Linked DNA regions of Cricetulus griseus. The protein of the gene in region 4 interacts with the protein of the main gene of each other region in a pairwise test. Links are inferred from orthologs where the notes say so. Each region holds a gene or a part of one and is shown on either strand. Other genes may lie near its edges.

The links.
Region 1: the proteins of Zgpat (region 4) and Dvl2 interact in a two-hybrid assay, tested with the Homo sapiens proteins (2 studies listed by BioGRID and IntAct). The two-hybrid records come from large-scale screens. The link is inferred for Cricetulus griseus from reciprocal best matches to the Homo sapiens genes ZGPAT and DVL2.
Region 2: the proteins of Zgpat (region 4) and Zbtb8a interact in binary tests that used the Homo sapiens proteins (3 or more experiments, as listed by UniProt). The two-hybrid records come from large-scale screens. The link is inferred for Cricetulus griseus from reciprocal best matches to the Homo sapiens genes ZGPAT and ZBTB8A.
Region 3: the proteins of Zgpat (region 4) and Krt15 interact in binary tests that used the Homo sapiens proteins (3 or more experiments, as listed by UniProt). The two-hybrid records come from large-scale screens. The link is inferred for Cricetulus griseus from reciprocal best matches to the Homo sapiens genes ZGPAT and KRT15.
Region 5: the proteins of Zgpat (region 4) and Bend5 interact in binary tests that used the Homo sapiens proteins (3 or more experiments, as listed by UniProt). The two-hybrid records come from large-scale screens. The link is inferred for Cricetulus griseus from reciprocal best matches to the Homo sapiens genes ZGPAT and BEND5.
Region 6: the proteins of Zgpat (region 4) and Cdr2 interact in binary tests that used the Homo sapiens proteins (3 or more experiments, as listed by UniProt). The two-hybrid records come from large-scale screens. The link is inferred for Cricetulus griseus from reciprocal best matches to the Homo sapiens genes ZGPAT and CDR2.
Region 7: the proteins of Zgpat (region 4) and Ccdc57 interact in binary tests that used the Homo sapiens proteins (3 or more experiments, as listed by UniProt). The two-hybrid records come from large-scale screens. The link is inferred for Cricetulus griseus from reciprocal best matches to the Homo sapiens genes ZGPAT and CCDC57.

The regions. Positions count from the first base shown.
Region 1 is NC_048600.1:83,851,011-83,854,325, reverse strand, and holds part of Dvl2 (segment polarity protein dishevelled homolog DVL-2), read right to left. Parts: intron 2,408-3,315; coding exon 2,338-2,407; intron 2,086-2,337; coding exon 1,940-2,085; intron 1,807-1,939; coding exon 1,697-1,806; intron 1,594-1,696; coding exon 1,458-1,593; intron 1,305-1,457; coding exon 1,214-1,304; intron 1,102-1,213; coding exon 1,032-1,101; intron 946-1,031; coding exon 806-945; intron 726-805; coding exon 649-725; intron 1-648.
Region 2 is NC_048595.1:23,663,049-23,667,210, reverse strand, and holds the start of Zbtb8a (zinc finger and BTB domain-containing protein 8A), read right to left. Parts: upstream 2,801-4,162; 5' UTR 2,428-2,800; exon of another isoform or gene 2,339-2,427; intron 1-2,338. UniProt on the Homo sapiens protein: May be involved in transcriptional regulation.
Region 3 is NC_048600.1:112,452,061-112,456,297, reverse strand, and holds the start of Krt15 (keratin, type I cytoskeletal 15), read right to left. Parts: upstream 2,801-4,237; coding exon 2,312-2,800; intron 1,451-2,311; coding exon 1,368-1,450; intron 1,250-1,367; coding exon 1,093-1,249; intron 688-1,092; coding exon 526-687; intron 427-525; coding exon 301-426; intron 143-300; coding exon 1-142.
Region 4 is NC_048599.1:540,403-544,657, forward strand, and holds the start of Zgpat (zinc finger CCCH-type with G patch domain-containing protein), read right to left. Parts: upstream 2,801-4,255; 5' UTR 2,525-2,800; coding exon 1,944-2,524; intron 1-1,943. Other genes in the region: Arfrp1 (ADP-ribosylation factor-related protein 1), read left to right, coding at 3,478-3,570, 3,859-3,946, 4,135-4,217. UniProt on the Homo sapiens protein: Transcription repressor that specifically binds the 5'-GGAG[GA]A[GA]A-3' consensus sequence. Represses transcription by recruiting the chromatin multiprotein complex NuRD to target promoters.
Region 5 is NC_048595.1:38,560,093-38,564,056, reverse strand, and holds the start of Bend5 (BEN domain-containing protein 5), read left to right. Parts: upstream 1-1,164; coding exon 1,165-1,390; intron 1,391-3,964. UniProt on the Homo sapiens protein: Acts as a transcriptional repressor.
Region 6 is NC_048596.1:79,675,557-79,679,847, reverse strand, and holds the start of Cdr2 (cerebellar degeneration-related protein 2), read right to left. Parts: upstream 2,801-4,291; 5' UTR 2,546-2,800; coding exon 2,470-2,545; intron 1-2,469.
Region 7 is NC_048600.1:133,406,168-133,410,372, forward strand, and holds the start of Ccdc57 (coiled-coil domain-containing protein 57), read right to left. Parts: upstream 2,801-4,205; 5' UTR 2,626-2,800; intron 1-2,625. UniProt on the Homo sapiens protein: Pleiotropic regulator of centriole duplication, mitosis, and ciliogenesis. Critical interface between centrosome and microtubule-mediated cellular processes. Centriole duplication protein required for recruitment of CEP63, CEP152, and PLK4 to the centrosome.

The DNA.
Region 1 (3,315 bases), on a different chromosome or scaffold from region 4:
TGGAAAAGAGAAGGCCAGTCACAGTCAAGCACACAAAGGGAAGAGACTTCAGAAGTACCAACGTCTGATGCATAAGATACAGGAGAAAGGAACACACACATAACTGGGCTATGAGAACGTGAGAGTGGAGGGCTCCACAATGTGGATGACTCACCAATATGGGCAAGTTAAAAACATAGTGCTGAGTGAAACAAGGGAGTACACACTGTACCATTCATTCACAGGAAGCACGAGACAGGTAACACTGAACCATCTTGTTCCAGGATTCAGGCATGGGTGGAAAAACCCATCAAAGGTTTTCTTGACCAAAGAAGTCAAGAGAGTAATTACCATCAGTGAGGAGGGTGGAAGTGGGAAGGAGTGTGCAGTGGGTGGGCTTTCTGAGGTAGTCACCAAAATTTTTTCATGATTTAAGCTGGAGTGACATGTACTGCCACTTAGATTTGTTATTTTGCTTTTTTTTTTTTTTTTTTTGAGACAGGGTCTCACTATGTAGACCACAATCAAAGTGCCACCTGCCTCTTCCAAGTGCTATGATTAGAGGTGTGTGCCGCCATGCCTGGCCTCACTTCTTTTTTAAATTGCACAACAAAGGTGAAAGAACTTAAAAACAAGAGGCCTAAGGGTGGGAACCTAGCAGAGGCTCACCCTGGTTTGTGCACAATGTCTCTCAGTACCCGTACAGCGTCATCATTGCTCATGTTCTCAAAGTTCATATCATTCACCTGGAAGGGAGAAGTGGGTCAGAGGCAATGTGGGAGGGTGAGAGCCTCTGCCCAAGCCAGTGTCCAACCTGTCAGCACACCTGCAAAAGCATGTCTCCAGGCTCTATGCGCCCATCAGCAGCCACAGCGCCCCCCTTCATGATGGAGCCGATGTAGATGCCTCCGTCACCCCGCTCATTACTTTGGCCCACAATGGAGATGCCCAGGAAGTTGTACTTCTCTGTGGGGGGAGTTCACATGAGGGGACTAAGCCCCAGAAACCCTGGAGACCCTCCCCTCCCCTTCTCTCATTAGGAGCTTCCATACCCATGTTGAGTGTAACTGTGATGATGTTGAGAGACATTGTGGAATCGGTGACACTGCTAAAGGATGAGGTCTGTGGCAGGAAGACAGGAAAGAGGTGAACTGCTCTTCACCAGTACAGAGACAAGCCCCAAGCCTCTGTGGACCAGCTAAACAAAGGCCCACTTCTCCCAAAGAAACCTCACCCTTTCCATGCGTGGTGGCCGCTGCTTTCTCCGCCTTCGGTGGCGCTTGAGGAGGCGGGAGGCACTGCTCTGCTCAGTGGAACTGCTGAATCTGATAGCGATTGAGAAGCAGGGCATTTGGAAGTAGATGTGGTCAGGGAGCCCGAGGGAGGGGAGGGAGGGAGGAGGGAGGGAGGGAGGGAGGAGGGAGGGAGGGAGGGAGGGAGGGGAGAGTGATTCCTGGGTGGAGATGTGTGAAGCATACCTACTCATGGTGTCATCCTCATCAGAGTCTCCTAGGCTGGTACTCTCCAGCTCACTGGTCATGAGGGTGGAAGAACTCTCGTACCCAGCCAGGTGGCGCTCCAGCCTTGAGGTGCCACTGGGCCTGTGGCCACCAGCTATGTATAAAGGAGAACCTCAGGAGCCAGGCCTCCCATCCTTCATGCTGAACCTCCCCTCCCAGCTCCCAGTCTACCCTGCCTCCAGGGCCTGTCCCCTCACCGCCATGCTCACTGCTGTCTCTCCTTCGAGTTCGTTCTCGTCTCAGTGATACAACAGACTCAGTTTCTGTCTCAGGCTCTAGATTTTCATGGCTGCTGGACACATTGGGGCTACATGGGTAGAGACAGTTTCCAACCAGTGTCAACAGAACAGCACCAAATCCTCAGTCTCCCCTCTCCAAGGGCTTGGACTGGATTCCCTCTTTACCCCCCTCCCCTAGATTCAAGAGTGTAAAGGACTCACTGGAAGGATGGAGGTCTTGAGTCCCCAATACCACTGGTTCTTTCTGGAGGCAAAGGCGGTAATGGTGGAGGTGGAGGAACCAGTTCTGTCCGAGACTCATGGGCTGGGGGAGCCATCTCAGGCTGGGGGTTATCTGATGACACTAGCTAAAAGAGTGCAAGAAAACATGGCTCCATTGGGTAGTGGTTTAAGTGGAAAGACTTAGGGAAAGGGGCAGAAAGAGAACAGGATCTCAGAGACCCGGGAGAACAGCCCAGAAAAAACAGCCAGTATGGCTAAGGAATGCCCTCTGCTTCTACAAGTAGAAGTGGGAAGCCAGGGCCACCAATGACTGGGCAAGGCGGGGAGTTGCAGAAAGAGACTGAGGTTGGAAGCAGCTTGGTAATGACTCTCCTTACCCAGGAGACAACCCTTCCATTGAAGCAAGGTAGGCGGGCATTGTCATCTGAAATCTCTTCCTTCACCACCCTGTGGAGAGAGTAGAGGACTCAGGAAGATGTCAGGTGTGATGGTGCACACCTTCAGTTCTAACACTTGGGAGGCAGAGGCAGGAGGAGCTCAGTGAACTTGAAGCCAGCCAGTGTTACATAGAGACCCTGTCTGCCTACCCCCCCCCAAAGATGAAGAAGCACTCAGGAGGCAGAGGCAGGTAGATCTCTGTGAGTTCTAGACTATTCCAGTCTACAGAGCGAGTTCCGGGACAACTAGGGCTACACAGAGAAAGAAACCCTGTCTTGAAAAAACAAGAGATAGAGATAAAGGGGGGGGGAGATAGATTAGTACCCCCACCCCAAATCTCATTCAAAGCCTCTCCCAAGCTGCATCCAACCCAAGCATGTTGACTCTCTGCTGCCCTCACTAGTACTCTTCATGTTTTTTAATGTTTATATGTACATGTTCCTGTATACAACTGTCACACATATGAACATGTGAGGGTGCTTGTAGAGGACAGAAAAGGGCATTAGATCCTACAGGAACTGTAGTTACTGGTAGTAATGAGCTACCATTTTGATGCTGGGAACTGAACTCTTTCAGAGGACCAAGCACTCATCCTCTAAGCCATCCCTCCAGACCCAATCTTCTACCTTTTTTTTCGGGGGGGGGGGGTGTCTCATTGTATCCCTGGATGGCCTGGAATTCACTATGTATACTAGATTGACCTCACAGAGATCTGTCTGCCTCTGCCTCCTAGGACTAAAGGTATGTCACCATGCCCAGCATGCATCACTGTGGTGCCTGGCCACTCGGCTTTTACAGTGAAACTATTGGCTTTCACTCAGGTTCTTGCCTTATTTTACTACCCACCCCCAGTTCATCCTTAGAAATATAATGCTGCTCTAAAGAGTGCTTCCCATCTGATCCAAACCTCCAAGTAC
Region 2 (4,162 bases), on a different chromosome or scaffold from region 4:
AAAAAATGTGGCTGGCACTCGGGAGGCAGAGGCAGGTGGATCTCTGTGAGTTGGAGTGAAAGACCCCGCCCCCTGGCTGGTTCTCTCTCGGTGACACTCCCGTACGCGCGCACACTCCCACACGCCTGGCGGCTGGCTCCCTCCCAAGCCGGTTCACCCAGGCGGGGGGCCCTCGACCCAGGCCCGCCCGCCTGGCGCCGCGCCCCGGGGCTGGGGCCGAGCGGGGAGAGGACGCCCCCCCCATGGGGAACCTCCGTCCCAAGGTCAGCCATCTGGACGCGGAGGGGGGAATTGGGTCTGTTGTACCAGGTGCAGACCTTGAGAATATACTGATAACTCTGTACCTCATTAAATTGTCCAATAGAATCCCTGTAACTATGCTTTTCGCTTCTGCACTGTGCTTTTTAGCTATATAAGGACCCCTCTCCCTTGGCTCGGGGCTTAGCCTACCCAAAAGCTAAGCCCCGGGGTACCAGCGCTACTAATAAAGCCTCTTGCTCTTACATCCAGAGTTCGTGGTTTCGCTGATTCCTGGGTGCGGGTCTCCTTCTACGAAAGTACCTCTTCTGAGGTCTTTCAGGAAGCCAGTCTGATCTATAGAGCAAGTGCCAGAAGAGGCTCCAAAGCTACAGAGAAACCCTATCTCACAAAACAAAAACAAACAAAAAAACCAAAAAAAAAAAAATGTGGCTGGATGGTGGTGGCGCACCCCTTTAATTCCAGCACTCCAGAGGCAGAGGCAGGTGGATCTATGAGTTCGAGGCCAGCCTGGTCTACAGAGTCAGGAGTTCCAGGGCAGCCGGGGCTACACAGAGAAACTCTGTTTGAGAAATAAATAAATAAATAAATAAATAAATAAATAAATAAATAAATAAGGAAGGGGTCTGGGAATGTATCCCAACAGTAAAATATTTGTCTAGCGTGTGCAAGTCCCTGGGTTCAATCCCGAAACACACACACACAAACACAGTGAGCCCAGTTCCTATAAGGCCTTGAAGACTATAGGTCTTCTGAGCCTTTGGGTTTTTTTGGTAAGATGTGGGGGTGGTTGCCATTTAAGGCTTGGGGAGGGTTGGGCATATGGTTCATTAGTCGAGTGCCTATGTAAACATGTATGAAGTCTTGGGTTCAATTCCAGCACAGATTCATGCCTGCAACCCCAGCACTTGACAGGTGGCTGTAGGAGAAACAGGAGTCCAAGGTCATCACAAACTATATAGATTTGGGGCCAGCCTAGGCTACATAGGACCTTGTCTTCAAAAGAAGATACTTTTTAAAAATCAGGGAAAATTTAAAAAAAACAACAACAACCTTATATCAACCCCTTTGATATTAAAGAATATAATTATGCCATTAAAAGATTTAAGACAGACTGAAATTCGACTAGTTCATCCCAACCCTCCCGAGGTAGAGATAGAATCAAAATTTCAAGCTAGCCTGAGTCCAGCTTAAAACAAAATTAAATAGGTAAATGGAAGTAAGCCTTAAGTGATAAAGATCAGTGAAGGTTTTTGGTTCTTGGAGACTGACTGCTCCAGGAGGCTGCTGGAATAGGAGGGCTGGAGAAGTTGTCAACACTCCCTGTCTAGGGGTGAGATTCCGTGGTTAGAGTCTTTCCTTTGCAAGGGAGAATAAACGGCCTGAACAGGTAGTTGTCTTATAAGAAATCAAGTGAACTATTTCATGAAAGCGAAACCACTCCATTTACTAAAGTCCTGCAAACATAAAGACTTCTAAGGTGTTAGCGGTGTGTGCGGTTGGGTGCCCGCTAGGTGTGAATCCCATTCCAAACACGTCTCGGAAAGACGTGGAATACTGCTAACCGCACGGTCAAGGGCGACTAAGCGCGCCAGAGCGCGAAGGGACCAAACCAGATAGTGTCGCCAGGTGGGAGATGCCAGGGACATTCTCCCGGGAGCCAGCTGGGGCTCCATATTCCTGTCCTCGGTTCTAAGCTCGGAACCGTCGTGTCGTGTCGTGTCGTGATCGAAAGCGAGAGGGCGGTGGGTGGAGTGAGAACGCCGGGCGGCAGCGCCCCGCGCCCCGCGCCCCGCGCGCCCGCGCCCCGCGCCCTTCCCCCGCCACGGCGCCCGACGGCTGCAGACACGCCCCGACTCCGTGGCGCCGCCTCCCTACCGCCGCCGCCAGGAGGCTCCGGCGCCTTCCCGCCTTTCCGGGGCCGGCCGCGGGCGGGGCGCGGGCGCGAGCGGCGACGACGCAGCCATTGTCCCGCAGCCGCGCCCGGGCCGCCGCGCCGCCGCCCGTGCCTCCTTTGTGGCCGTCGCCGGCCCCGGAGCTCTCCCCGAAAACGCCTACACACCGGGGCGCACCCGGCGGCCTCGCCGCCCTCCGCCAGGCTCTCGGCCGGGCCCGCAGCCCCGACGCCCCGGCCGCCCTCTGCCCGCCCGCGCCCTCGCAGCCACTTACCGCGGGGCTCTGGCCGCTCGTGCTCGCTGCGGAGTAATTCCCGGTTCCCGGTGGGGGAAGCACCCCCTTCCGAAGCCGAGGCTGTGCGCCCTAAAACAAGTAGCCCCAACGTGGGAGAAACAAAAGGTATTTGCTGACGTGGGCGTTGGACAGAAACGCCCGAGGGCTGAGGACACAATTAAAGGGGCAACGCACAGATTTCAGGCACCAACCAGCAGCTTCGCCCACTCCCCCTGTCCGTGCCCACACCCGGCTGCACCCTCCGCAGGCGCTGGGGCGCCCAGATTCCCCAGCAGTTGACTGCGGATCATTCTTTTAGTCGCGAGCTTAAATTTTAAAATTGTACTTTACGTTGGGAAAGGCGCCTCCGGAGGGCAGAAAAAGGGCTAGGATTTCTAAGATGTGGGGATATTGGTTTAAGGACAGAGGGAGGGACTTAGGCGTGCCCACAATTACTGTATAAGTACATATGACATTATTGTTCTTAAGTTTAGCAACGTCAAATGGAAGAGATTTCCACAAATTTCCTCTCTTTATCGAAGCACTTATTCTAGTCAGGGATAACCCTTTAGAAACCTTTGTAGGTCCCCTTCAGACCATTTGAAAAGGCAAGCCCAGAGAGGCTGAGATATTGAGAACATGATTTTATTTTGTGTTTTTGTTTTTCAAGACAGGGTTTCTCTGTGGCTTTGGGGGCTGTCGTGGAACTAGCTCTTGTAGACCAGGCTGGTCTCGAACTCACAGAGATCTGCCTGCCTCTGCCTCCCGAGTGCTGGGATTAAAGGCTTGTGCCACCACCGCCAAGCTAAACTAAATTAATTTTATATTTCCTCATATTAGTTGTTAATTGCTGTGAAATAGTGTATTATGATGAAATGGGGGGAGACTCAAATCTTCAAAGCATACATTTAATGTTTTTTTGAGGGGTTCCTCTCCCAAGTCTTAGTTGGGCCTATTAGGGTCTTGTTTCTTCGGTTTCCTCACCGATTAGCTAGAACAAAACATTTGGTCTTTCCTGAATATTATACCTGTTTACTCCAGAGTTGCTTTGTGATTTAGATGTGTTTCTTTACCTTTTGAGGTAATGGAAGGAAAAGTAGCCAGAAGCTAGTTTGAAAATCCTTACCACACCTTTAATCAAAGCACTCCAGGAGGCAGAGGCAGGCAGATCTCTGAGTTAGAAGCCCTCCCAGGACAGCCAGAGCCGCATAGTGAGACCCTGTCTTGAAAAAGAAAACCGTTATGGTTCAGCATTGCTGAATATGCTCAAGCTGTTCTAACATTCCCATTGAAGATTTATCCCAGAAAGAGCTGGACATTATAGTAGCTTATTGCAGCACTGGAAAGGCAGAGGCAAGCAGGTCTCTCTGTATTCAAGGCCATCCTGGTTTACAAAGAGAGTTCCAGGGCAGCCACAAGGAGACCCTGTCTCAAAACAAAAACATTCTGCTGCCAATTAAGCCAACCAGGAAGGTTCCTTTGCACCCTAGGGGGCCTGGCTTGCAATGCTTGCAAATAGCAGCCTTTTGTCCATTCCTGCGTCCAAGAGGAAGTTGGAAACAATTCTCCAGCGGCTATTCATGTCTCTGATCTGGAAGCTAGCCCTAGTCTACACTCCAGACAGGTATGTAGGGGAGCCCCAGGGCACACTGGCCACGGTTAATTTAGGCCAGGTCATCCTGTCAATCCAAACCACATCTCAGAGCAGAGGGGCCCCACCAAATGGAAAGCAGGT
Region 3 (4,237 bases), on a different chromosome or scaffold from region 4:
TATATTCCTGGTTCTGAGCTTCCATCTCACAGCGGAGCTCGCTCAGCTGGCTCTCCAGGCTGCTAATAAGCCCCTGGATCTGCTGCAGCTGTGTGGCATAGCGGCACTCCACCTCTGCCAGAGAGTTCTCCAGCCCGGCTTTCTGGTGGGGTGACAGATGCATAAACCCATTGGGCTAGAAGGCAACCCACTGGAGGGAGAAGAGCAGGAAGGGTGGTAAGGACTGCCTGAGGTGACAGGAATGTGTGAGGTGAGGCTTTACTGGCCATGTGTCACCCAGTAGGGAGAGAGTGACCGTACCATGCTGAGCTGGGACTGCAGCTCGATCTCCAGCCCCTGCATGGTGCGCCTCAGGTCTGTGATCTCCGTCTTGCTGGACTGGATCATTTCTGTGTTGGAAGCTACCTCCTTGTTCAGCTCTTCCGTCTGCAAGTCACACATGAGAAACATGAGCCTCATGGGCCTCCTCAGAGGCCTCTGGAGTGGGAAGGAGGGAGAGAGCAGAGCTGGGGGTGTCAGGCCCACCTTACTGAAGAACCAGGCCTCTGCATCCCGACGGTTTTTCTCCGCAATGGCCTCATATTGTTCCCTCATCTCGGCCAGCATGCGGGTCAAGTCCACCCCAGGTGCAGCGTCCATCTCCACATTGACCTGGCCCGCCAGCTGACTGCTGAACTCTTTCATCTCCTGCAAGGGGTGGGAGTGACAACCATTTAGAGACAAGGCTATAAAGCAGACAAAGAATCGAGAGTCCTGAGGGCTAACTCTGACTGTCTCTAACTCACAATGTGACCTTAGCACATCACACCACCCTATCTCTATTCCCCATTGGAACACATGGACCCCTCAGTTCTGAGGATCTCTCTTGCTCTGGGTCCTAAGAAACAAGGACCTTGAGATAATAAGCCCATGAAGCAAACCAATTCTGCAGTTCACACATGGCTTGGCCTTGGGTCCAGATTACCAGAGATTAGTGCCCCTTCTCTTCCATGGGGCCCCCCAGGTACATTTCTTAATCCCCAAGCCCTCAGAGGACTGTGACAAAAGACTGGCTGTCCTGGGCTTCTTCCTACCACCCTGTCTTGCTGTTACCTCCTCGTGATTCTTCTTCAGGTAGGCCAGCTCCTCATTCAAGTGCTCAATCTGCATCTCCAGGTCGGTCCTGGCCAGGGTCAGCTCGTCTAGCACCCTGCGCAGCCCGTTGATGTCGGCCTCCACACTCTGGCGCAGGGCCAGCTCGTTCTCATACCTGGGGAGGGGAGAGGAGCCAAAGTCAGGAAAGGTGAGGGGCCCAGGTTCTGAGTCATAGAGGAGGAAGGCTAGGTAGAGGGGGTGAAATGGACAGGGGTGGAGAAATGGGAACACACTTGAGCCTGAAGTCATCCGCTGCCAGCCTGGCATTGTCAATCTCCAAGATGACACGCGAGTTGTCAATGGTGGCCGCCAGTATCTGCAGGAGACAGAGTTGTACCTTAGGGCTGCTGCACGACCCCCTTCGCCAACTACTGCCCAGCTTCTCTTCCTGTGTGCATCAGTTGTGCTGGCCCATGCTCCCTTCCCTGTGGCATCTTCAAGGAATGGAAAACTAACGAGGCAGTATTGCCTGGGATTGCCTGGGGGCATGGCTAGTCAAGACCGTGCTGCAATGGATACAGTTGGCTCTGTCAGGTCAGGACTCTCGGGAGACACACTATACCAGCCTACTTGGGCACAGCTCACAGTGGCTGCCTCCTGCGTGCCTTGACAGAGCCCTTCATCTCCAAAACATTGCAGTCATTGGGAACTTGGACAGCAGCTAAGGAACGTGTTTGCCACTAAGGAAAACAGATCCAGTTAGTTAAAAGGGAAAGTGAGGGGGTGGCACAGCCTCCACTGAGTTCCCTGGTCTCCTAAGATCTAGCAATGATCAACAATAAAGACATCCTTGAGGCCTGAAGTAAACAGCCCTGGCATTTAGGACTCTTGAGGTTGTGCCTGAACAGCACACGGGTCACAAAGTTAAAGCAATCAGTTGCAAAAATCCCTGAAAGTTTTTGTGAGGCAGGGAGAAGGAGCTGCTCTCTTTTGTTGCCCTCATTTGCAATCCTGTGTATCCAAATCAGATTCCCAAGACCACTCCCTCCCCTCCCCCAGCACTGCCAAGTGGAACACGTGTGTTCCCACATGTGCCTGGGAAGCAGGTGCATCCCAGCCTTGCCAGGTTACACAGCAGGGAAGGACTCTCTTAGTCAACAGCAATGTTGCTGTTGCATATGTGTACAGGGCACCTACTGCCTGTTTCCCTCTGTCTGACATATATATGAGGACTTACTTTGTCCCGGATCTCTTCCATGGTCTTAAAGTAATGGCTGTAGTCTCGCTCCGGACTGGCTGGGCTCTGCTTCTGGTACCAGTCTCGGATTTTCACCTCCAGCTCCGTGTTAGCCTGCTCCAGGGCACGTACTTTGTCCAGGTAGGAGGCCAGGCGGTCATTGAGGTTCTGCATGGTGATCTTCTCATTGCCAGAGAGGAGACCTCCATCGCCACCACCAAAGTCACCAAAGCCACCACCAAAACCCCCACCAAAGGCTCCACCAAAACCGCTACCAGCACCACCACCAAAACCACAACTCATACCGCCCCCATATCCCCCTCCTGCCCCCGAGGAGACGAACCTAGCAGAAGAAGCAGAGATGCTTCGGCTCCCACCTCCCCCGTAGAGACTCCCTCCACCAAAGCCGCCTCCACCAGCACGGAGGGAACCCCCTCGGGTAGAGCCACCTCCAAAGGTGGAAGAAGTTTGCAAGAATGTGGTGGCCATGGTCAGGCAGCCTGAGCCTTCGTGTCCTTTTCAAGCAGGAGGGACTCTAGCAGGAGCTTCTGAGCTGGGCTGAAACCAGGCTGCAGTGCTGTCGCCCCTAGCCTGGGATTCCTTATATACTGTTTCAAGGGGGTGGGGGCCTTGCCTCCTCCCCCTGAGTGGAGCCAACTCCTCTGCCTTCCAGACAAATACAGCTGCCTGCACACCTCCACAGGGCTCGCTTGTGGTGAGTTTTTCTTTTCTTTTTTTTTTTTCTTAATGCAACAAGAGAGATGATTCAGAATTAATGGGGTTTTGCTCTAGGCCATGGTTTTAACACTTGGATTACAGGTTCATTTCTCACTCCAGGAAGGAGAAGAGAGCCACAAGAGCAAACCCTCAGCATAGCACCCAAGTTCCCTCATGTCCCATCCCGTTAGAGCAGCCAGGCCAGCTCTGCCTCCCACCCCAGCCCACTGCTGGCATGTGAGCCTCACCCCAGGTAGAAAGCTTCCTGCTTTCAGTTTCTCCCACCACTGCTCTGTACTACCTACTCAAACGCCCTATACATAGCCTTCGGGACATGGAAGTCCCCGGGAATGAGAACACAGGTGACCACAGTGCAGGCTAATAGGGTCTCAAGTCAACTTCCAAACGAGTTGACCAAAAAAGCCGGTGCCTGTCCCTCTCTCCCATCCCTGATACCTGGGCATGCTCTCTCCTCTCACAGCCCTCCCACCACCCCAATTCCAGAAGTCCCTCCTACCTCTTCAGTTCCCCCCCCAGCCCAGGGTCCTGGCTAGTTCACAAAAGCCCAGAAGGCTCAGGCTGACAGGAGTCTGATTGATGGTCCTGTCACCAGCCAACTGCACATGTCACTGAACCTCTGCTTGCTCCCAAGACGCGTTGGGGCAAACCTCTGCAGATAAGACCCAGGCGAGTTCCAGAAAGTCCCCCGCCTTCTTCAGCAAGAGACATGTCGCTGCTTAGCAGGGGCCAGATTAACCCCCATTTGCCTTGTCAGCTGCTGCCAGCTGGGGAGGGGCTGAGCTAGAGGCTCTGCTCTGCGTGCCTAAGTACAGGGAGGAAGGCGGAGGCAGGAAGGGGGGCTGGCAAGCAGGTGGAACACATCAGAGCTCAGAGGCCAAGGAATCAGTCACTGCAATACTGAGGCCAAAAAGGACAGGGTCTTCTGCCACCAGCTCTAACAGCCCTATTTCTCTAAGACAATGGCACTGTGGGCAGTGCCACCCAGACTGGAGAGAATCCACAGGAGGGCTTCTAATGGAGAGCTACAATACGAGAAAGTGAATAGGGCTCCAGCGTTCCTTGGGCCTGTGTTTAAACCCCATTTCTATGAATGACTCCTGTGAAGATCTGTACTCGTCAGTTTTCAAGGCTCAGCCTCTTTGTGTATAGGACACTCACTTTATGGGACATGCTGAGACTCAAGATTCC
Region 4 (4,255 bases):
GACATACACCAAAGTTATGGTAATGCAGGTGGAGTTAGTTAAATTTATTTTTAAGAATCTAAAGCAAGCTGGGCATTGGTGGTGCACGCCTTTAATCCCAGCACTCAGGAGGCAGAGGCAGGTGGATCTCTGTGAGCTCGAGGTCAGCCTGGTCTCTAGAGCAAGTGCCAGGATAGGCTCCAAAGCTACATAGAGAAACCCTGTCTCGAAAAACAAAAACAAAACAAAACAAAACAAAAAAAATCTAAAGCAAATTCAAGAAAACAACTCATTCATCCTGGATGGTTGTAAAGATGGTGTTAGATGTTTTATTGTCTTTTAGTTCTGCCCTAAAATTGATACCACAAGCAGCTCCTTGTGATGAAGTGGTCTCACGGCCAGCAACATTGTACCGATCACTTAGTGCTTTGGTGTCTGTCTCTCCATCTATAAAGTGGGGTGGGGACTGACAAATGGTTTGACAAGTAAAGGTACCTTCTGCCAAGCTTGATGACCTGAATTCAATCCCCAGGGCCCACATGGTTGAAGGAGCCTACACTCAAAAGCTGTCTTTTGACCTACACATGAGCACCATGGCACATGCATATATACATACAAAATAAAATAAAACAAAAATTATATAAAATGGGATGAGTTCAGGGCCTACCCATAGGTTCGTGCACAGAGAAGTGAGCATATGTCAGTCAGAGAAAGTACTTAGAGGTATTAAATCTCTCATCACAGGGCTTCCCACAAAAAGACTATGGCAGATAAAGCAGCCACTGGTTATAGCAACATGTGTATTCTTGGAGAAAACCCACTGAGCACACTGATCATTTATGCACCTATAGGCATGAGAAGGAAAGAGAGTGAGCAAGGAACATGTCAAGTCTACTAGGATCTAAAAAAGATGTGCAGAGCCAAGCTAGGTAGCACATGCTTGTAATCCTGGCCCTAGGGAGGTAGAAGCAGAAAGATGAAGAATTTAAAGTCATCCTTGGCTATATATGGATTTCAAGGCCAGCTTAAAGCTACATGAGATCCCATGTTAAAGAAAAAGTAAAGAAATAAAATGTGCAGAGTACAGATGTAACCATGGAAGTAAGAGCTTAAAGTGATGTAAGAGAACCACAAACCAAGGAATATAGGTGGTCTCTGGAGGTTGGAGAGATGGCTCAGTGGTTAAGAGTATGTGTAATGTTTTTGAGGAAGACCCAAGTAGTTCACTACCAGTAGTCCTGAAGCTCCTGCTTCAGGAGATCCAACACCTTCTTTTAGCCTCCTCATGCACCTGTACTCAAGTACACATGTATTCACAAACACACACACATACACACAATTAAAAAGAAAAGTAAGTATATAGAGCTAGAGAAATGGCTTGGTGGTTGAGAGCATACTGCTCTTGCAGAGGACCTGAGTTTGTTTTCCAGGATCTATGTTGGGTGGCTCATAAGCACCTGGAACTCCAGCTGTAGAACATGCAACACCTTCTGGCACCTGTACTCATGTTCACATACCCACACAAATACACACAAAAATAAATCTTAGCTAGAAGTGGTGACACACGCCTTTAGTCCCAAGCACCTGGGAGGCAGAGCAGGTAGATCTCTGAGTTCAAGGCCAGACTGATCTACAGAGCGAGCTCCAGGACAGACAGGGCTACACAGTGAAACTCTGTATCCAAAAAAAGAGGGAGGGAGGGTGGGAGGTGGAGAGAGAGAGAGAGAGAGAGAGAGAGAGAGAGAGAGAGAGAGAGAGAGAGAGAGAGAGAGAGAGAATGAATATAATGTGTTTACTTATGTGTTTACTTAACAGGGAATGTTCCTGTTAAAGCCTGTCAGCCACCTGAAGCTCCCCCTTCTCTTTTATCAATTCTGCGGGGTGGAGAACAAGTTGTGAAGGCGGCAGGCCACAGCAGTGGTCCTGCTCGAGTGACCCTTATTGCTAGTAGCAGAGGGCTTTACCTGCAGTTCTCCTTGAAGCGGCATTTTCCCTCCAGGAAGAACGGGCAGGGCTTCAGGGACTTGTGGGTAGGGTACAGGTAGAGTACGCGAACGCATGCCGAACCATCCTCTGCCTCTTCAGTGCCCACAACCATTGCGTTGTGATACTCTAGCGTGCCCCAAGCGCTGTGGTAAGGGGCATTCACTTTAGCACCGCTCAGCTCCTCCTGATCTGGATCCTCCTCGTCTTCCTCCTGTGCAGGGGAGGTGGGTCCAGGCCGCACCACGCTCCCAGGGACAGTCTCCGAGTCATCCACGGGGGCGACGGGTGCCTCCCCTTCCTCCGCCACAGCCTTCTGGAAAGCCAAGTACTCAGCGTCCTCCTCTGCCTGGTGCTCCAGGTCCACTGTAGCCAGCAGCTTGCTCTTCCTGACCGACAACAGGCTGGCCTCGGTGAGCTCTATCAGTTCCTTCAGATCGCCCTGCAGCTGGCGCAGGTCCGCAAGCTCGGAAGCGTCCAGGCCAGCACCAAGAGCCAGCTCTACCTGCCCGAGCTGGGCCCGGTAGGTCTGCAGGGCCGTCTCCAGGTTGTCCTCGTCCATCGCTACACCGCGCAGGCTAGTTTCGGAACCGCTAAAGCAGACGAGACCTGAGGGAAGAGCAGTCGGCAGAGCTCAGGACAACGCCGCCCCCTCCCCGGCCGCTGGAGAGGCTGAGGAGGACCTCGGCGCTGCCAAGGGAACCGCAAAGTATCCCACCGCGTCCTCTGCGGTCCGCAGCCCCGCCTCCCGCCGGTGCTCGCAGCCTACAAGGGCTTCCGGCCTCGCCAGCAGAGCCCTCGCGCTAGCCTTCCGCCCGCCGCGGGCACTTCCGCCCGAGAGCTGATGCTGCCGGAAGTGCCCGCGTTCGGGAGCCTCCGGGATGGGGCGCGCGGGGGCCGTCGGGATGCGGCTCCGCCCTCTCGTACTCAGTCGGCCGGTCGGTGTCCCGACAGGCACCGCGCGGGGTCAACGCGAGGTCGGTGGGGTTTGCGACGCGACGACGGCGTCTGCGGCTCCGAGATCTGAGCAGGTGCAGGTGGGTCTCCGCCGGACTGAGGGGCCGGGGTTCCAGAATCCTGGGGTAGGGGGCAGGGAAGCGGCTTCGGCAGCTGGTTCTTTGGCTCCGTGGGCCCGGCAGCGGGGGGGGATCCAAAGGCGGCCCACTCAGAAGCTGACTCTCTGGTAGCTACGACAGTCGAAGTTCCCAGTGCTGAGTTGAGGGTCCGGAAAAGAAGCCTTAGGAGGGCGGAGCAGGGTAGGCCGCCATGGGTTTTTCAGGACTGATGGTGTATTCACAAAGATGACCCGCAGTGGGAGTAGTGGCCCAGGTTTAGCGGGTGGTCGGTGGTGGAGGCAGGGTCCGGAATCGGGGGCTGGGGAGAGGGGGGCAAGGAGTCGCGAGCCACGAGGCTCCACATTTGAAAACTAGCAGGACCGACGGACCACTGATGAAGCGGACAGGAGGCCGATAGCCCTGGTACACACCTTGACATTTCTCAGGGTGCCAGGGCAGGATGTACACGCTGCTTTCGGGGCTGTACAAGTACATGTTCCAGAAGGATGAATACTGCATCCTGATCCTAGGCCTGGACAATGCCGGGAAGACAGTAGGTGCCTGTTCTCTCACCAATTCCCTTTCCCTGCCTTATGTTCTTTGCAAATCTAATCCCTACCCAAGACTACAGGTTAGTTGCCACCAGCCTCCCGAAGAGCATTCAACAGGCAGAGGTTCGTGTGCATGTGTGTATGGGTGTGAAGGCCTGAAGTTGCCCAAACCATGTGGGTGTGAAAGCCTGAATTTGCCCAAAGCATATGGATGTGGAGGGATATTTAGAAAAGACACCAGGAAACTGCTTTAGCTGCCACTACCTAACCACCTTTCTTTCTTTCCTCAGACCTTCTTGGAACAATCAAAAACACGGTTTAACAAGAACTACAAAGGGATGAGTCTATCCAAAATCACCACTACCGTGGGCCTAAACAGTAAGGGGGATATGAGCTTGGGTCCCTTAGAGATGCAAGCCCGTACGTAGCCCAGCTGGCCAGGGGCCAGATCCCTCTCTGTGCATGCCTGCTGGGATTGGTACCAGAATGGTTTTCCTCATTCCAGGAAGAGCTGGGACTTTGTAAAGAGTAAGGTCAGGAGCTAGCTCATTCTATCCTCTCCCCAGTTGGCACTGTGGACGTGGGGAAGGCTCGTCTCATGTTCTGGGACTTAGGTGGACAAGAAGAACTACAGTCTTTGTGGGACAAGGTGAGACACACTATCTGCTCTGTACTGTATTTCTCTAG
Region 5 (3,964 bases), on a different chromosome or scaffold from region 4:
GTGAAATTTTGTTTACCCCCTCCCCCCAATTCACTGAGTCTCTCTTTGACAAATGCCCTGGACTTGGGCTGGCCAATAGGGATGGTAATAGCTCAATTTTATGCTATGCATACCCCCTGGGAAGCTACACCTGCAGAGAGCCATGTCAACCTTCCTTCATTGGTAGATGTGACTTCTCTGCGGGAACTAACTTTTCCAGGTTCTCGTCTGCTTATGATATTAGAGCAGGGACTGCTGTTCTACCAGTTCTGTTCCTGAACTCTTGAAAGTACTCCAGAAAGCCCTAGCTCCCCAGAAGCCTCCACCCCTGCTTTATTTCAACGTGTCCCTTCCCAGAGGCAGCATGCAGTGGAGGCGAGTCCTCAATGGCGAAAAAGTAGTGGAAAGAGGGGTAACCACTGCTCCCTTAGGATGAGACAAAGTCTCTGCCACCACAGCAGCTGGTCCAACTGGAAACCTCAGATAAGTCCAGCTCTGGCCAAAACTGGTTTGGCAGCTCTGGGGGAATGTTTCTGGCTGACTGACCCTCACAGCAGGTGCTGGTAGTTTTGCAAAAAGAAAGAGAAAGGGGGAAGGAAGGGGGCGGGGGCTAAAGGAACTAAAGAGGCTGGCTAAATTCAAAACACTAAACTTCGGCTCACTTGCAAGTTTACACTTGGGGATTCATATAAAATTACTACCAGCCCACCAGCCTCAGTCCTTCCCTCCGGTCCTTTGCAAAATAGTTTCGTTGCAATGCAGTTTGTTCTGCAGCGCGCTTGTTGAAACTACTGAATTCGGCCGAAAGCGACTTTTAGCTGTGTTTCCCCACCCCGCAATGCTACTGTTATTATTAAGGCGATTGAATCTCCGCTCTTTCCCCTCCTTACTGCAATCTCACTCCGGCTGTGATTGCTCGGGTCTGACTTCGCGAGTGGCGGTGCGCTTCCAAACCCCCTCATCCGCCCCTCGCCCGGCTCTCCCCACTCCCTCCTTTTCCGCGCCCAGGCGAAAGCAGCCGATTGGCAGAGCGGGGTTTTCAGGAACAATAACAGTGGGGGGAGCCGGGGCCCCGGGGAGCCTCCCCGCCCCCGGCCCGGCTGCGGCTCACGCCCCCCGCGGGGTCCCCACCTCCGCGCCGCCCCGCGGGCTGACCGGCGCCCGGGCCCGCCCCCGGCGCCCACCATGTACGCCTTTGTGCGGTTCCTGGAGGACAACGTCTGCTACGCGCTGCCCGTGTCGTGCGTGCGCGACTTCAGCCCCCGCTCGCGACTGGATTTTGACAACCAGAAGGTGTACGCAGTGTACCGGGGCCCGGAGGAGCTGGGCGCCGAGCCCGAGAGCCCCCCGCGTGTCCCCCGGGACTGGGGCACGCTGTTGCTCCACAAGGCCCAGATCCTGGCTCTGGCAGGTGAGCAAGCGGGCCGGGAGGGGCGTTGGGTCCGGGCGGACTGGGGCTGGCTCTGGGAGAGGCTGAGCGGTCGGGGCCGGGGAGCCACAGCTTGCTCTAGCCTCCTCTTCCTGCCCCTTGGGCTTTCTTTTGGGTACCAGGTGTCTCTAAGAGGCCAGACCAGTTAAAAAGACCCAAGGGTCCCCTTTGTCTTCCTTGCTTCTCTGACACTCCCGCGCCGGGCTGTCAGCCTGCCTTCCCTACCCTCATCTTTCCGACTCTTTTGTATTCTCCCTGCCTCTTCACTTTCCCTTCACTAGCTGCCTCCCCTTACTTACTGTCATTTCTCCATCTCTCACCTTTACCTCTCTCTCTCACACACAGTTGCTTTCCTCTCTGTTGCTTTCTATCTTAAGTTTCTCAAACTGTTCCTTCCTCTCTCCCTTTAAGGCCCTTGGTGTCTTCTTGGAGCAAGAAGCATTTTTAGGTGTGTTAGATGGGAGCTCTTTATCACAGAAAGAATCTCTGACACCTTCTCCCATCATCAGGACCAGGCGACCCAACTTCAGTTGTACTGGCCAAGTGGCAGAGGGTCCTAAAAGAGCTTCACCTCCACACCCCTTTTTGCACCTCCCAGAAAGCTCCCTGAGAGAGAAAAGGGGGCAAACAGCCTCTAGTTCAGGTTAGGGCCTGATCCGCTAACTCTGATTGCACACGGGGTCAGGGAGAGAGACTGACAGACAGGCAGATAGTTTCTAGCTTGGTGGGTAAAGATACAGAGATTTGGTTGGTTGACAGGACAAGCCAAGCTTTTCAGCCTCCTGGAGTGTGCCATACATAGGCACGGGGTTCCTCTCCAAGTAGACAGTTGGCCTTCTTTCCCAGCCACTTGTAGAAGGCTTGGGTGCACACCAAGCAGGGAAAAGGAGCTTGTCACTTCCATGGGGGTGGGGAGTAGGAGTGGGGGCAGAGATGTGGCTGCTACTGGTAAGAGTGCTGCCTTTGAGTAAGCAGAGACAGAGTCACCTTCGACCCAGAAGACAACCCCAGGGTAAACTAGGACCCCAATGAAGACTGTCAGGATTTTGTGGTTTTGACACTTTTCCTACTTTTTCCAGGGTCCTGTGTTCTCTTTCCTTTAGCCTAAAGAGGAACCTAGCAAGAATCATAGTGACTTGCCCAGGATTCCAGGACAAGCTGAGTGGAGCTCAGCCTCATGGCTGAAGTCTTTCTAATTCCTCTGGAAAGTAGGTTTGTGGGAATAAAGGAGCAATAGATTTGAAGTGCATCAACACCGTGAGGTCCCTTTTTTGACAGGTTGGGTCCTTACCACTTCACTGACAGGCCCTGGGGGCACAGAGCTGTAGGTCCACTCACCACCAGACACCAAGGTCCAGGGAAAACATGAGTGAGGCAGATAGGTTTTAGAACAGAAGTCTTCGTAGCTGATTAGGTTTTGTTTGCTTGCTTGCCTTTAATTACTTAGGAAGGGATTAGGAATCTATTCAGCAAGAGGATAAGCCCAAGGAAATTATAACTAGGTGTAACTTTAGCTTCCCTTTTGCCAGAAGAAAAGAGAGCATGCGTCTTGATGATCCTGTCATATAGAGACCTGGAGAAGCCCATGAGAGTGGAAGGGGTGGATATCAGAAGTCCATGGTAAAGGCCTTTCCTGGTCTACAGATTGTTGATCTACATGTCTGTCCACTCAGACATAGACATCCATTCATTCAGCAAGTGTAGATACATGTAGTTCTTCAAGGACTACCAGAGGCTAGTTAGGCAGATGGCAGCCTCCACCAACTCTCCTTTTAAAGTCAACACGAGTTGCAACGAGATACTAAAATATGTACATGTATGCATACATCAGCAAGAACCCTAAGCATTGGATAGAAACTCAGCAGAGTAAACTATGGTCCCAGTTTCAGCAAACCAAGTTAAAACATGCTCCTTCTCATCTCCAGTTTTTTCCTTAGGAGAAGAAAAGAGGTGGGTGAGTTCCTGGCAGGGAGGGGTGGGGACAATGGCAACTTGAGGTTAGCCGGGCTACATTTTGAATTCCAGTAAACTGGTTAATTTTTAAATTGAAACTGTTGTTCTTGGTGCAGACCTGATTGGAAGGGCCAGTGTGAACCTGGGAATTCATGTATCCTGGAAGTCCTCTCCCTTGTGTGTTGAGCTTGGTGGCTCTGAAGCTTGCTTGAAGTGGCTTCACCAGAAGAGAGCTCATCTGACCCATGCAAAGACCTTGCTATTGTCTAAATGCAACCAACCTCCTTGAGGGGCTTAGGGACTCAAACAAAACTGGTTCCTGTAGGCTTTTATCACCTTGTGAGTCATAGGAGCAGAGTTGTGCTGTGGTGCCCAAGTTTGGGGAATTAGTTCCTCAAATAGTTCCTCTAGAGGAAGGCAGAGGTGGCTTTGCAAGTGTAGACAGGTCCTGGTTAATTAATTATTTCTGACCTCAGTAGTGTGGTTTCAGAAGACACTTCCGAACCACTTACGGCATTTGGTGATAAGTGTGTTACGTTGGCATACATTTGTCCAAGCCAACCACTGTAGCTGTCTTGAAGTAAACCTGTTGGGAACCCAGGA
Region 6 (4,291 bases), on a different chromosome or scaffold from region 4:
TGGATTCATGAACAGCAACCCCCGAGTGGAGTCCTGCCTTCCTAACAGATAGCTGGCTAGGATAGTGGTGCCACTGCCTATAAGAATACCTAGTATAAAGCCAGGTGGTGGTGGCGTACTCCTTTAATTCCAGTGCTCGGGAAGCAGAGACAAGCGAATCTCTGAGTTCAAGACCAGCCCTGGTCTACAGAATGAGTTCCAGGATATGTTCCAAAGCTACAGAGAAACCTTGTCTCAAAAAAACCAAAATAACCCAACAACAACAACAACAAAAACCAAAAATACCTAGTATAGAGAAAACAATATGTTCTTGAGAAACAGTTGTAAATTCTGTTCAAAGTTTAGTTCTAGAATGGCTCAGTGGTATGTTGCATGCACACAATCCTGGAATACCAAATACACAAAAGCATTTAACATACAAGTTAGCAAAATTGGAGAAAATATGCTCAAAAGAGCAGCCATTATTCTTTCAGCTGCATACTGACGAGCTAACAGCTGGGATTTCACGTCTCCTATTAGTACTCCATATGCTGTTTAAGCTATGGCAAAGTCTACTGTTGTGATAACAGATGTAAAAGGCTTTGGAAAGTATAGGAGAAATTCCAAGTGGAAATTGACAGTAAATAAGTTCAGATATTAGGATTTGCTAAACATGAAGATGTGACAACTTCATTTTGATCCGAAGTTAAGAATCCCACACATAGTCCCAAACGTGTTTTGTTTATTGCTCAGTAAATTGGGATATTAAAATTGGTTGTCCTGACAACTTTCTGGGGAAGCAGGTTAGAGTAGGCACTGGTTAGAGGAAAGCTGTGAAAACAGTAATCCTGTGTGAGAGAGAGCTTCAATTCAGGGCAACAATTATTAAATCACATTTCTATTATGAAGTGTTATATATGATGTTAGACAAGTATAACCAGCCTACCCTTGAAGATTTTGGATGTTTCTTAAATATGGCAAAGCAAAATCTCTTGCTTGGATTATATGAACTGCTTTCATATAGTAGAATGTTGCAATCGCATGATGACTGCTTCAGTCCTTAAGTATCAAAGTAGGTCATCAATCCTTATGGGGCAAATCTGAAATAGGCTAAGTATGTGACACATTCGTCTTCTGGACATGGAGAAATGTGATAGCAAATCGGCATTGTAACTGCTAGGTAGCTTCAATTATACAAGTACAGGTATCCATCTGGGCTTAAGTCGTTGCACATTAAGGGATCAAGACAGACAGAAATAAATAACAAATTACCACCTGTCCAGAGAGGTACCTGTTTTCTTTTTCTCTTTTCTAAGTAAGGGTCATTCAAGTCCACATTTTTCTTTTCTATCAAACTCAGTGGAATTGTGAACAAGTAGCCGTGTTTAATAGCCAACTCAAAGATGATAATTTTCACTACAAGTTTAGAGTGGAAATAATTCTCTAGAATAGAACAAACAGGATGCTTGGAAGAATTCCTGGTGATCACTCTGAATGGTGGTTAAGAATGTTTGCTCTGGAGTCTGCAGTGAAAACCTCATTTCCCCAACAGTATCTACTTGAGCCAGAGGTAACCTATGGCAACACATGATGTTATTGGGAGAATTAAAGGCGCCCATCATTGTGTTAAGAGCCTATCAGTGTCCTCAAGCGAAAAATCCTACTACGATTGTGCAAGAAAATGGGCCACTGGCTTCTAACTGAGGGCACTCTGAGATTGTTCTCAGGAGATGCCACAATCAAGAAAGCCAAGGCAGGATAATTTCTAATTGAAAATCCGAATGAAAAAAAAAAGGCATAATAGAACTCTTCTCACATAATTTCACTTGGCACCCGATAAACGACGCCAAAGTAATATATCAAAACAAAACAGTTTGACACCCAATTGTAAGTTGTACACTGGGGTGCTAAGGTCCGAACAGTGTCTACAGGCTCCTCATCCCGAGTGCGTGGGATCAAAAATACTAGCTCCCATATTCGGCTTTAGGGAGTCCACCTAACTCAGCTTCTGCTTTCTGGGAAACGGGATAACAAAACATCACTCTCAGAGAGTGATGGCGCGGGTACCGCACTGCTGTGCGGTACTGCACCCCCACCACCTGCAGCGGCTTGCAGACTCTGCGGGCCATGAAAAGCGCATGAGGGCGAGCAGGGCAGCAGGACCAGAAGCAGAGTCAGCAGCTTGCTTCTAGAGCGGGGCACACTGGTTCACCCCTGCCCACCTCAGAGGTCCCCGAAGGAGATAGATCCGCTCATCCCCCGAGAAAGCGCTTTCTTAAAGCGCCGAGCATCAGCCAGCGTTGCACATCCGCAGGGCCGAGGGCCGCGCGCTTGCTCCCGGCGGCCGGGATGGGCGGATCCGCTGCCAGGTGAGAGTGAGGAGCCCCCGGCCGCGCATCCCAGACCACCAGCCTAAGGAACTTTCTAGTACTTTCCACACCTGTCGCCTGCCGGGCCTCCACCCCCCAACCCCGGCGACCTCGCCCTCACCTTGTTGGAGGTCCCGGTGGTCGTACCACGGTTCATCTTCTATCTCAAACTCCTCCACCAGGTTATCTGCCAGCATGTCGCTGGGGGTGTCCGGGGGCAGCGGGCTCTGCCGCCACCGTGCCGTTTCGGCCGCTGCCCCGGGCTGTCCCCCGGCCCCTCCGCCCTCAGCCAGAGCCGCCCTCGGGCGGGACGCGCCGGCCCCGCCGCAACTCCCGCCGCCGGCCCGCGTCCGCCTCGCGCCGCCCAACGGCCAGCGCCCTAGAGAGCGCACCCCGGGTGGCGCCCGCAGCCGGCACCACACACCCGCTGCCCGGCCCAACGTGGCACTTTGGCAGAGCCCTCCCAGGCCGGGGAGACGATTCAAACCCGGGCGGCGCCTTGACCAATTGCGAATGGGTCCCTGGTAGAGCGACAGCGACTTCAGCCAATAGTATCTCAAAGAAGGTCGCGGGCCCGAGTGTCTTTGGCCAATAGACGCTCAGGAAGGAACAAAGGAGGCGGGTAAAGGCGGAGAGGGTGCGGCCGGCAGCCCCGCCCCTTTTGTTAGCGTCTCGTCTTCTCAGTGAATACACTCCTGTTCCGGAGCCTGGTGGAGGCGGCTGCGGCGACCCTCTCGGCTCCCTGGCGTGTCTTGTACCCAACTGAGGAGGACTCCCGGCTCTGGGCAGTGGGCATCATTTTCCCACCGAAGGTTTCGAAAGCGGGACAGCCCTCCTCGGCTTTGCCCTCGGTGATGCGCGGAGGGAGATTCAGGGTCCGTCGCGAGGTTAAGGCCGAGAGAACGCTATTGAGCCTAAGCTGCTCCTGAATGTCTGAGTTTGGGGGGATGGCAATTAACTCCTAAAACGGCGGTCACCAGCACCACTTGACATTCGAAGGCTGGGACCGGCCCGTGGGAAACGCCTCCCTTGGCAAAAGTTGCCAGCAGTTTTGCATAATTTTTTAAACGTTCATAGAGCCCAAGGTAAACATCTGGGAGCAGGCATTGCACTTGTGGCCAGCAGGGCAGTGTCCGCTTGGTGACGCAGACGTAATTGTTTCTTGGGTTGAGCTTTTAGCACCTTCGGGTGCCTCACGTGAAAACTCTAAAACGGAGAAAGGTCGGCGCAGCTGTTAGGATGTTAGAGCTAATAGATAATGTCTAAGGAGGAAACGAGAAGAATTATAACAAGTGAGGGGAGAGAAGTCAACGTTTAGCTTTGGCAATAGTGAGTCGCTAGATACCTCTTGAAGTTAGTAACGCCTTCATACACATCCGGAGTGTCACCAGAACTAAGATGGAAAGCAGTTATCCAAAAAAAAAAAAAAAAAAAAAAAAGTACACAAATTACTATGGTTAAAAATAGGAGAAATTGCTAGGTAGAAGTTACAGATCCTCAGCTACTTTTGTTTTTCCATATAAACGAATAAGGTCTTGGGTAATTTGGAGAAAGGAAAACTTCATCCTAATTTATTTTTTCAGTGCTAAGGATGAACCTAGTGCCTCGTACATGCCAGACAATCACTACCCCTAAGCTACATCTCCAGCCCATCTTCATTCTTGTGGGTTATAAAATCAACCTTGCTTAAATCATTGTAACACTAAGTGCTTGCTCCTGGGATAGTGGTCTGGTGAAGGCCAAGAAAGCCTCCCCAGTGTAAGTTTTATTTTTGTTGTTTGCACAGAGTCTCACTGTGTAGCCCCAGCTGGCCAGACACATGTAGATTAGGCTGACCTGGAACTCACAGAAATCCACTGACTCAGCCTCCAGAGTGCTGGGATAAAAACCATGCATTACCACATCCTTTTCCTACAGTAAAGTTGTTCTGGGAGGTTTTCCTC
Region 7 (4,205 bases), on a different chromosome or scaffold from region 4:
AAAGTGAAGATGATGGGGGTTGCCTCACCTATACTCAAATCAACAATAATCAACCAACCACAGACATAAAACTCATAATAGGGGCAGGGGGACCACAGGGGTTTGCTTTTGTGTTGTGATGTACGTATGCATGTAGGAGAGGGCACGGTGCGTGTGTGAAGAACGTGGCATTATACGTGTTGTCTGTAGGCTATGTGTATGCATGTGTGGTGCTGTGAAGGTATGTGAGTATGTTATAGCAAGGTGTGTGTGCTGTGTGTGATGTAATATAGGTGAGTGAGTTCAGGTGAGTTAGGGTATATTGTGTTATGTGTTTACACCAACTTCAGAGTTCCTAAGCCAGTAGCTGCTCTTTTTTAAATATTTTATTTATTTATTATGTATACAGTGTTCTAGAGGGCACCAGATCTTATAGATAGTTGTGAGCCACCATGTGGTTGCTGGGAATTGTGAACTCAGGACCACTGGAAGAGCAGCCAGTGCTCTTAACCTCTGAGCCATCTCTCCAGCTCCTAGGTGCTCTTTATATAAGCAAGGATACTACTTAGAGAAAAGTTCATTCATGAAATTACTGATAACAAAAATTAGTTACAGTCGGGCTGGAGAGATGGCTCAGTGGTTAAGGGCACTGGCTGCTCTTGAAGAGGGCCTGGTTCCTTTTCCAGAACCCACATGACCACTCACAAGCATTTGTAACTCCAATTCCAGGGGCTCTGATGCCTTCCTCTAGAGTCCACAAGCTCCTTCGTATATATGGTTCCACAAGCATACACACAGACATAAAATAAATGAAAATTTAAATTACAGTCCAAATCATCAGAACTAAAGAAACAAGAGTGCATTTCACAGGAAATAATGGATTTTTCCATTGGACAGTGGGCACAGCTTTGTGGCAGGTCTTCCTGTAAATTCTAAATCACCTAGAACAGGGCCTGACAGCTGCTCTGTAATGGACCAGGTAGTTAGTATCTGCCAGGGGCTTTGGGTCATGCTAAGTGCTCAGGGATTGGTTGGTTTTCTGCTCAGGGGCAGGACAGATCTGGTTTTGGTTTCAGGGCCCAAGTGTGTTTCTTTCACTGGTCCTTTTTAGCCTTTTGGCTCTAATTTTAGGGCCAGGATGTATTTCTTTCACTGGCTCTGATTATAGGGACAAAGCACGTTTCTTTGGCACTGGTTTCAGGGTCAGGGTGTGTTTCTTTGGTTCTAGTTGCCAGGCCAAAGTGTGTTTCTTTTTGGCTCTGCTCAGGCTGTGTTTCATCAGCTGGCCCCTTTTCCCTCATATGTTTTCTTTATAAGACTTGCCTTGGTCAGGTGTCTCTTCACAACAATAAAACAGTGACTAAGACAATGGGCTTATATTGGTCTATTTCTGAAGCTAAGGAGTAAATTCCTGCCTGGTGCTCATGGAAGAGTTTCATAAATAATTCCAGGATATAGGTGGAAGGACAGTGACCTGTGAGGTCTGATCTGTGGGGACATCAATAATCTCATTCTTCATGACAAGCCCCAGGCCTGTGTCATCCTGAATCCCTTGGAGCTGCTGAGTCTCCTTCACCTGCTATCTTCATGGAGGACTGGCCCTGTACCCAGACAGGAGCCCTGGAGAATACATTCTGTGCCTGTTTTCTGTGGCTCTCCCAGGGCCGCAGATGCCAGAGCAGTGGTTGAAACCTACTCTGATCCTGGTTCTAAATAAAGACCTTTGGAAACTAGATCCCAGTTTATCCTGAAAGGTCTGAATGGTTTATTCGGCTAACTTGTGATTCCTTTTCTCTACCCAACATAGCAAGAATAAAACATGGCTGGGTGGTGGTGGTGTATGCCTTTAAACCCAGGACCCAGAAACCAGAAGCAAGCAGATCTTCGAGTTAGAGGCCAGCCTGATCTACAGAGTGATTTTCATAACAGCCAAGGCTACATAGAGAAACCATGTCTCGAAAAACCAAAACCAAACAAAGCAATGAAAGAATAAAACGTGAAATTAAATGAAAAAAATCAGGAAGTTTTCACTGATGTATGCTAAAATTAGTCACTGAAAACACGGCTAGAAGCAGGACTTTACACAAGCAAGCACCTCCCCCGAAAGGTATTTATTATTTATAACGGGAAAATAGTAACCTAACTTTGCTTATTTAGTTACTTTTTTTGAGACAGGGTCTCTACTTAGCCATGGGTGTCCTGGAACTATGCAGACCAGACTGGCCTCGAACTCAGAGATCTGCCTGCCTCTGCCTCCCAAATGCTGGGATTAAAGGCGTGCCCAGAAGAAAACAGTAACTTTATGATAGCCATTTGATAGACACCACTGTCTCCTGGGAGGCACGAGGGCAGAATGCTAAATGTTAGTAACTCAATCTTATGTTAAATATCGGGCCAGCCGAGGATGAGATGCAGTCTACAAAATAACGGACTTATGAAGTCAGCGGGGCAGCGCGGCGCTGATCCAGGCTGCAGAGCAGGGGGAACACTGCGGCTAACGTGCTGATTCGGGGCACCCTGCACCCAGTGCCGCTGCCGGCCTCGCGATGGTCGCCCGAGGCTACTACTTCCTGAGGGAGGCGTCTGGGGAGCCTGGGTCAAAGCCCCACGGGAGCCGGAACCTGAAGCGATGGCCATGCCACTCACCCCGTGCTCCATCGGCAGGGCCCAGCGAAATCCTCGTCGCCTCCCGGCGCGCGACCAGGCACCGCGCCAGCCCGCTCTGGGGCCGCCGGGATTCCGAGCGCCAGCACTAGCTCGCCCGCTCGCCCGCCCTCCGGTCGCACCTCTAGCGCGGGCCACGTTACCATAGCGACTGGAGTCCGCGGCCTGGGTCCGGGTGCACTGTGAGCATCGCTCCGATCCCTCCGTGCAGAAACAGGAACCCCAACACAGAGTTCCGACCTCCGCGGGGTCCACACTGGCATTGAATAGGGTTTGCTGACCTGTGGGACTCCCTGAGTAGTGCAAAAGCCCGCACCTGTGGCGCTCTGTGTCCTCCCCCCAGGTGGCCTGAGGGTCCCCAGGGTGCCCATCTTGTAGCCCCAAAGGGCTAATTTCATCTGCGAGGAGGCGCCGGCAGGCGGACGGGCTGGGAGCTCAGGTGGAGAGCCTGCGAGTCGGGCGTGGGGAGTTGCTCCGTGGACGCAGATCTTTCCTGCATTGCGTTAGTGTAGCCTGCACTTGGGACTATGGCAAGGGTGCAGTGGACTGCACATGGCAAGGTTGGAGGGAGGTTGCACCGGGGGCCGATCACCAGGCGGGGAGGGGGGGCGCTAAGTGAAGGGATCGGTCGTACTTCGGAGCTCTGGGTGAGGGGCCACATTGAGTGCTCTCCAGGGTTTGCCCTGATACCTCAGGCATCAAAAGGTGAGCGTTTATGCAGGACCCAGGCTTTCATGGACTAAGTAGAGTTGAATGGAGTGAAGCAGGTTACTGGGAAGGGCCTGCATGAGCCCAACATCAGGCTTGCGTCTGTTGCAGGCGTGCCTCTGTTTCTGTCTTAGCTAGTCATTTAAATCCTCGGGTTATCTGAGGGCCAAGGAGATGGCTCAGTGGATGGGCGAGCCTGATGACCAGAGTTGCTCTCTGGGACCTACATAGTGGAAGAAGAAAACCAATTCCCTTGAGTTTTTCTCTGACTTCCATATGTTGTGGTGTGCATTCGCACCATCACACAAAATAAATAAATAAATAAATAAATAAATAGGTAAACTGTGTGGCCCAGCCCTGGGTCAGAAGCCAGCACTGACTCACACACCTCAGCCAGCACAGTTCCCAAGGGATGGGGAGTGTCTGGGAATCCCGTGCTCCAGGAGGGCAGCATCCAGTGGTCTAGCGTCATTCCTACTTTCCTGCCTTACATTCTGTAGTCTTCCTAACCCCATCAGTCTTTCCCTTGTACTCGCTGTTCCCACTTCCTGATAGCATGCTTGGTGCTTGATCTGAACCCTCCCCCAGACAGCTTGCCTTTGTCCTTCCGCTGCTATCTCCTCAGCCATATCTGAATCTCTTGGACCCCTAAGGGCCTTTCGTTCTATTAGAATGTGAGGAAGAACCAGCTGTCAACTCTTTGCTACCTAATTCAGAGCTCCTGCCTTAGCTGTGGAGTCCAAGAGGCAGACCCAAGCCAGAAATATGCTCACACCCTTGTTTCTGCCTTACTCAGTCATATTCCTGGGAGTTTCCTAAGGTGATGGGGGAACTGGGGCCCCCGTGTATATGAA